Ovis aries: one gene and its partner. The protein of the gene in region 1 purifies or fractionates together with the protein of each later gene. This does not show direct contact. Links are inferred from orthologs where the notes say so. Each region holds a gene or a part of one and is shown in the gene's direction. Other genes may lie near its edges.

Region 1 (3,500 bases):
GCCCTGATTCTTGTACCTGTTCTGGAATAATTAGCTGCATGCTCTCAGCACATCCCTCATTTTCTCATCTACAGGAGAATGTATTCTCAAATTCCAGTCAGCTTGTGAGCAAATGAGTATAAGATACGACTCACTGGACAGTCAAAGATGCATAGAAACATCTGTGCATAATATATAAAGATTATATCTTTGTAAAGATTGTATTATAGGGCAGCTCTTTGTCAAGAGATAAGTGTGTAAGCTTTAAGATGTTTGTTAAGAAGCTATCACATGGTCATATATGGTACAGAGGAAAAAAAAAAGTGTCAAGTTGCAAGTCAGCACAGATATTGCAGATGGTTTGTGATGATGGGACCGATATGGTGGCCTGTTTCTGCTTCCTAACTGTAACATGACCTCTGCAGGAAGGAGCAAAGGAGTACGCCATGCTGCACAACCCTCGCTCCAAGTGCTCCGGGCGTCGCCGGCGAAGGCACCACGTGGTCAATGCTTCCTGCTCCAACACTTCAGCCTCTGCTGTGGCTGAGACCAAAGAAGGGGACAGTGACAGGGACACTGGCAATGACTGGGCCTCCAGTTCTTCAGGTACAGTGAGCAGAAAATGACCTCTTCTTGCTACACAAGGTAAACCCGGGATCATGCCGTAACAGTTAACATTACTACCTTTTTAAATTGTTCATTCTTTCCACAGGTTCACCTGTAAGCAGTAGAGACAGGGAATATTTTCGTTCCTAATTCTTCTACCTTTTGGTGTAGAATGAAGTGCTGAGTTTGTAGCAAACCACTGAGGCCAGCTGCATTCCACCTTCTGTGTTTCTCTCATTCCTTTCTCTCTTAGAGGCGAACTCTCGCTGTCAGACGCCCACGAAACAGAAGGCGAGTCCAGCCCCACCTCAGCTCTGTGTAGTGGAAGCACCCTCAGAGCCTGTGGAGTGGACTGGGGCTGAAGAATCTCTTTTTCGAGTCTTTCATGGCACCTACTTCAACAACTTCTGTTCAATAGCCAGACTTCTGGGGACTAAGACGTGTAAGCAGGTACTGCCTGAAGGGGACGGGAACAAGTCCTTGCCCCGGGAGCCCTTTGGTCACTTTGTAAGGCTGCCTGTCTGGACAGAAGCTGTCTTAGGTTCAGTCTTTCGTGAGCCTGTGCTTCTGGACCAGGAGGTGGATTCCCCAAACTTGGGGGGCTTTCTGCAAATACCAGGCCTAGCAATACTTAGGATCTGCTCTCCTTGCTGAATCCTTACTTCTGTCTCTAGCCACTATCTAACTCTTCTGGATGTTTCTACCCTCTCTTAGGTTTTTTCTTTTTTTTTTTTGGTGGTGGCAGTGGTGTTCTTGCCTTTCTTTCTAATGCATGCATACATGCTAAGTCGCTTCAGTTGTGTCCAACTCTGTGCAACCCAATGGACAGCAGCCCACCAGGCTCCTCTGTCCACAGGATTCTCCAGGCAAGAATACTGGAGTGGGTGGCTGTTTCCTTCTCCGTTTCTTTCTAAATGTGGACCCATTTCCTGGAAGGCACTCCTGGGTCCTTCTGGGGATCTTCTTTTCTCACACCCCTGCTCCTGCTTCTGTAGCTGCAGCTGCCACCACCCCCCAAGTCAGTCTTCTCAGTTGTTTATTCTTCAAATGTTCTATCATTAGATTTCCTAATTACCACCCCTAATGGCTGGGTCTGGACCTTGTGCATCTCACTTACATCATCACTAGAATCACCATCTGATAGCAGCTTCTGATGTTTTGGAGGCTGGAGAAGCCTACAGGGAGCAGACAAACTGAAGCACAGGGATAGGGAGTCAGGTATTGGGGCCAACTGGTCCAAACAGGAACACCAGAGCTTGAGCCCTCCTCGCTTAGCTCCTCACTTTCCAGAAGAGTCTGCAATCTTTTCTGCATGTACTCTCTATTTAGAACAAGTAGTAGAACCATGAGCTGAAGTGCCCTTTGCTTTCTTTTCTTTTTAAGTGAAAGAAGGTTTACTCAAGGGGAAAACACCATAGATGGAGTGTGAGCCATCTCAGAAGGCACGAGAGGCCGTTTTGGAGGAAGTAGAAATGAATAGCTTTATTGCTTTGCCAGGCAAAAGGAGACACAGCAGGCTCATGCCTTGAAAAAGGCGTGTCCCCTATTCCTTTTTTTTTTTTAATTTCATACCTATCTCCCCAAGGCACAGGTTTTTGATCTAAAAGCCTGCAAACTGTGTACAAAGCAATTTTTGTGTGTTATTTTCCTGAATATAAGATTCACAGTTTTCATGGAATTGCGAGAGGGCCTGTAACCGAAAAGAAAAAGCTAAGAAACAAATGTTCAAAGGGAAACAGCATGTTAAAAGGGACCAGGCCTTCGTGAAATGCTGTCCTGCTAAAATAATAGTCAAGGCTCTAACATCTTTATGCCAGCAGAGGGAGCTAGCGCTTAGCCGGGTGGTACTTCAGGTCACATCACTCAGTTACACAAGGTATACAACACTGCCCTTCCTGATAAGAAGCAGATACTGTTGGTAAGAATTGACTCCCTCTGGATTGGAAGGCAGAGCAGTAGATGAACGCGACTGACCAGAAAAACCGTACCTGTGCTCAGTCAGGATAAACACTTAAGAATTAACTTCAGGGACTTCCCTGGTGATGCAGTGGTTAAGACTCCTTGTTCCCAATGCCGGGGGTATGGGTTCAATCCCTCGTCAGGGAACAGGGAACTAAGGTCCTGCACATCACATGGCATACCCAAAAACAAATCAAGACCAAAAACACAACCAGAAACAAAGAGCTTCAGAAACAGCAACCTGGTGTCCCGGTGCTTCTCTGTCTGTGCCTGCTAAAGACGCTCAGACATCTGCCCACAAGCTCTCCAGAAACCAGCACCTGGCTACGTCACTTATCTGACCCCTCAGCTCAAGAGGTAACAGGTCCTGTTGGATTTCTCTTCCAGGTCTTCCAGTTTGCAGTCAAAGAGTCACTTATCCTGAAGCTGCCCACAGATGAGCTTATGAACCCCTCACAGAAGAAGAAGAGAAAGCACAGGCAAGGCTTGGACCAAAGGCTTTCTGTGGCCAGACCGTTCCCTGTTCCCTGACCTCCCCTAGGGCTTCGCTGCTGCCTCCCTTTGCAGCCACTGCCCATCAGTTCAGCATCACCCAGTGGAGGGCCAGTCTCCTCAGTGCTCCCTGCGAGTCTGTGTCTTGAATCAGCCCTTCCCTTGTCCCGCAGTGCTGTGGACCATGAAATAACTGATTTTTAAGCTCCCGGCCAGCAGGATGTGAACTGGCCTCGTGGCTCCATCCTGAGGCCGTTTCTTCTCGCTGGGTTGTTATTACCACTGTGCTCACTTCTCAACTCTGACCAGAGTTTTGTTGTTCTGTTTTTGGCACTTGTATCTCTAAGTTGCATAATAACACTGTCTTCTAGCTAACCTTTGCTTAGGGTTGGAAGGTGTTTTTTTTGCAGCCAATACTCCATCTGGCTTTGTTCCGTAAAAAACTGACACTGGTTCCAGATATA
Region 2 (4,139 bases), on another chromosome or scaffold:
GGGTATGCAAAATCCTCCCGGACACCAGAAAAAGGAACAATCGAGTGGTGAATGAGAATGAGTAACACATCTTTTTACAAGTCAGGTGGTGTTCAATTACTTGCTTTCGACAAAGTTGAAAGAGAACCTAGTCAGAGTTGTCAACGGATAGATCATTAAAAGTATTTTTTTCTTGTTAGATCTTTATGTGATTTTTTTGGGGACATATAATTTAGAAAGAGTTCAAAGAATCGAATTGCATTGCTCTGACAAAACTCCATTCATTCTCATGTACTTATTAATGTGAACAAGTTTTTTCAGTGCTTACATTCAAGGAATTAAAAGTTTGTAACTGAATGGAATCATCTCATTTTCATTCTAGAAATACTCGTCCACTGATCAATAATACAGCTTTTAAAAAAGTATTCAATTTCATTTCTGTAAGATGCATTGTCAACAAAATTCCAATTTGAGGGTTTAGTATCTATTTGTAAATATTTGAAATATATTTGTTTTGATCAGTTGAAACAAGTGTTGAGTGTTATGATCTCAGGAGATTTAGAAACAACCCTTGAATTTCAATTTCGATACACATTTTTTTGTGTATATAAGATGTATACAGGAAATATATAAGATGAACAATAAAACAGTTCAAATATAAAATATTAGGATAAAATTCTGCGAGATGTAAAATGTAAATGAGCTCCAGAGGATAAAGGATGGAAATTGCCCAAGTATAAACGAGACTGTATTTTAAAAGATATTGGTGGGTATTAAATCCGTATGGCATTTAGGATTCATTGGTTGACTACATTTACAAAAGTGTGACAGTCGTAAATTATGAGGCTGGGAAAAAATGTGGTTGTCACTTTAAACATGTGGATGTACGAAGATGTACAAAATCGTCTCAGAGGGCTCAGGAGCTAAAAAGTTTGAAGCTCTTGCCCACAGATGTTTGCTCTCAGACTGAGATTTAACCAGTCCTCGGGGTATTCGAACGTAGGTTAGATAAAAACCTGTGGCTCTGCGTCGCGCGTATGGATTCAGTACCTAGCACTGTATTATTCATTTTTACTCATTTTCCTCGCCTCTCCTCTTAGACTGTCAGCTCTCAGGAGCCCAGGGACTTGTTCGATTCTTGGCTCAGCGCCCGCGCGCCGGGGACGCTCCCCAAACACTCCCGGAATGAATGACTCGATCGTGAGCCCTCGGGGCGGGGGCTGTTAGAATCCCCGCCCGGCGCCCAGCTTTTCGTTCCGCGTGTTCCGCCCGCCGCGCGGCCGGGGAAGGCGTGGGCAGGCCCCGCGGAAACTCTGAGTCCCGGCGGGCCGGGGCGGGGGCCCAGAGGGGGCGCGGCCGGGGGCGCGGGCGCGGAGCCGGCGGCCGAGGGGAGGCGCCACCGCGTGCCGCCGCGCAGGCGCGCAGCCGTCTCCGCGTGAGTGCGCGCAGTGGCGCGCCTGTCCCCGCGCGGGTTCCGTAGCGCGTGTGCAGGCTGACGCAGCTCGCGGGCCCTCCTCCCCCTCTGCCGCGGCGTCGGCCGAGTTTGGAGCGTTTGGGAGGGGGACGAGGGAGCGAGAGTCGAGAGAGGGAGGCGGCGGCGGCGGCGGGGAGGCGGAGGAGCCGGAGGAGGAGGAGGAGCAGGCGCCGCCATGGCCGCCGCTCTCACCGACATGGCCGACCTGGAGGAGCTCTCCCGCCTGAGCCCTCTGCCCCCCGGCAGCCCCGGGCCGGCGGCGCGGGGCCGGGCTGAGCCCCCCGAGGAGGAGGAGGAGGAAGAAGAGGAGGAGGAGGCGGAGGCCGAGGCGGTGGCGGCGCTGCTGCTGAACGGCGGTGGGGGCGGCGGCGGAGTGGGGGGCGGCGAGGCGGAGACGATGTCGGAGCCGAGCCCCGAGAGCGCCAGCCAGGCCGGGGAGGACGACGACGAGGAGGAGGACGACGAGGAGGAGGAGGAGGACGAGAGCAGCAGCGGCGGGGGCGAGGAGGAGAGCAGCGCCGAGAGCCTGGTGGGCAGCAGCAGCGGCGGGAGCAGCAGCGACGAGACGCGCTCGCTGAGCCCCGGCGCCGCCAGCAGCAGCAGCGGGGATGGGGACGGCAAGGAGGGCCTGGAGGAGCCCAAGGGACCGCGGGGCAGCCAGGGCGGCGGCGGGGGCGGCAGCAGCAGCAGCAGCGTCGTCTCCAGCGGCGGCGACGAGGGCTACGGGACCGGGGGAGGCGGAAGCAGCGCGACCTCTGGGGGCCGGCGAGGCAGCTTGGAGATGTCGTCGGATGGGGAACCCCTGAGCCGCATGGACTCGGAGGACAGGTCAGTGCTCCGAAGCGTTCCTCCGCCTCCCTTCCTCCTCTGGCGCTCCTGGGCCCCTCCGAGGGGGACTTTTCTGCTGAGAGTCCCCCCTGTTCCCCGAATCCTCGGCCCCTCCCCCCTCCCCCCCGGCTCTCAACTCGGAAACCTCTCCCTGCCGCCGCGCCCCTCTCGCTGCGGATAGCGGCTTCCAACTCTTCAAAACCCTTTTCCCCCCAACTCTCCTTTCCCCGCCCTCTTTCCCCCTCGGCTCTGCGCTCCGTTCGGACCGAAGGACGGCTCCAACTCGGAAACCATCCCCAAAGTAGGCCCAGAACCTCCGGCGGAGCCGAAGAGGGCCTTGATGTACACACCTCGGTACACAAGGTTAGCTTCCCCGGGCGATGTTGGCGAAGACTTGTCACAACTGTAACTGACAAGTGTTTTCCAACATGGCTGGTCTCGCCTGGATGTAAGAGAACTTCCTTGTTCAGGGAGGGGGACCCCAACCATCACTTTTCTTTTACTTAAAAAAAAGACTATTCTTTTCTATTTGACTAGCGCTTCCAGAATTCCTCGTATCTTCCTTAACCTGGTCTCCAAAATGATTTTAATAATCTCTCTTTATTTGGTTGGTGGTCAAACTGGGGAGAAAGTTCTCAAACTGTATACATCGTTGTGTAAGAGAATAATGAGTTGGTGTCGTTTAAGGTAACTTTACCGAGCCGAAGAGAGTTGCAGTGGTAACAAAATGCAGTCTTAGGGTACAACATGTTAGTATGCGTTTTAAAATCTGTGTACACTAATGGTTCAACAAGAGCCGTGATTTTAGGTGATAGTATTTAAAGTCATGTTTTGGCGAGATTTCTGAAGAGATTAGTAGTAGTTTTCTAAAGCTTTTTAGAAAGTGTGGAGACTGACAAAAATGCGCTTCATTTTCTGGGGGCTTTAAGATACTCATTGTTACGGTATGTTTCAGATGTTATTGTCATTATTTTTCATCTCCAGAAGATTTCATATTTTAACTAATTGGTTGTTAATGTATTTTATTTTGCTAGAACAGAACCACGTCATGCGTATTGTACTGCATCTAAAGTATGTTAGCAATTATTTTGACCGTCTGCTAATGTTTGGATGAGCAGTAGAATTTTAACCATCGATATTGGATTTGAAAGTTTTAAGTATTCTAAAGTTCTAGGAATTCTATTGTTAACTGATAAAAAAGGAACACCTTGGCTTATATTTAGTATTATGAGGAATTCACAGCCCTAAATATTTTGAAAATACAGCATCAAATTCTATTTGACATTTATTTTAATATCTAAGGAAATAACCTTGAATGGGGTAAAATAGACTGCAAACCTTGAAAAAATTGTCCTGAACTATGTATGCAGGATAGGAAGGAGAATGTCTTTAAGAAAATTAAAAGATTGGTGTGAACTGCCTAACGAAGCATGTTATTTGTCGTTTTACTGTATACGCCTTCGTTGGTACCAGTAGATATTTAAAAGTTGACATTAGTTCATACAATTCGGCGTCTTCCACAGTTGTTCCATTTACCTAGCATACACACGTACTTGCCTAGTAGCACTGAAGGATTTAAATGTGCCAATCATGTCATTTTCACAACTCTGGTGCAAGACTTAAAAACAGAGAAGAAGCAAGTTAAGTGTCTTACTCAAAACAGTAACTATGGAATGGAAGTGGTGGAGCTGGATCTGAACAAAGGTTCTCAAGTCCCCTGCTAGTTCGACTTCACCAGAGTTAGAATTATTCTCTTTAAATAAGCTACAAGCAGTATGTGCCAGGTTTTTGTTTTTTTCGTTTTTTAAATTTAATGTCTATCTACTATGTCATTTTAGGAGACTGTGAGTAGTTGGTC

What was found.
Region 2: the proteins of EZH1 (region 1) and AEBP2 purify together in Homo sapiens (affinity purification with mass spectrometry; 3 studies listed by BioGRID and IntAct, with this or other methods). This does not show direct contact. The link is inferred for Ovis aries from reciprocal best matches to the Homo sapiens genes EZH1 and AEBP2.

Annotation. Positions count from the first base shown.
Region 1 is NC_056064.1:42,498,522-42,502,021, reverse strand, and holds part of EZH1 (histone-lysine N-methyltransferase EZH1), read left to right. Parts: intron 1-404; coding exon 405-585; intron 586-838; coding exon 839-1,035; intron 1,036-2,931; coding exon 2,932-3,023; intron 3,024-3,500.
Region 2 is NC_056056.1:196,107,775-196,111,913, reverse strand, and holds the start of AEBP2 (zinc finger protein AEBP2), read left to right. Parts: upstream 1-1,339; 5' UTR 1,340-1,628; coding exon 1,629-2,281; exon of another isoform or gene 2,282-2,621; coding exon of another isoform or gene 2,622-2,644; intron 2,645-4,139. UniProt on the Homo sapiens protein: Acts as an accessory subunit for the core Polycomb repressive complex 2 (PRC2), which mediates histone H3K27 (H3K27me3) trimethylation on chromatin leading to transcriptional repression of the affected target gene.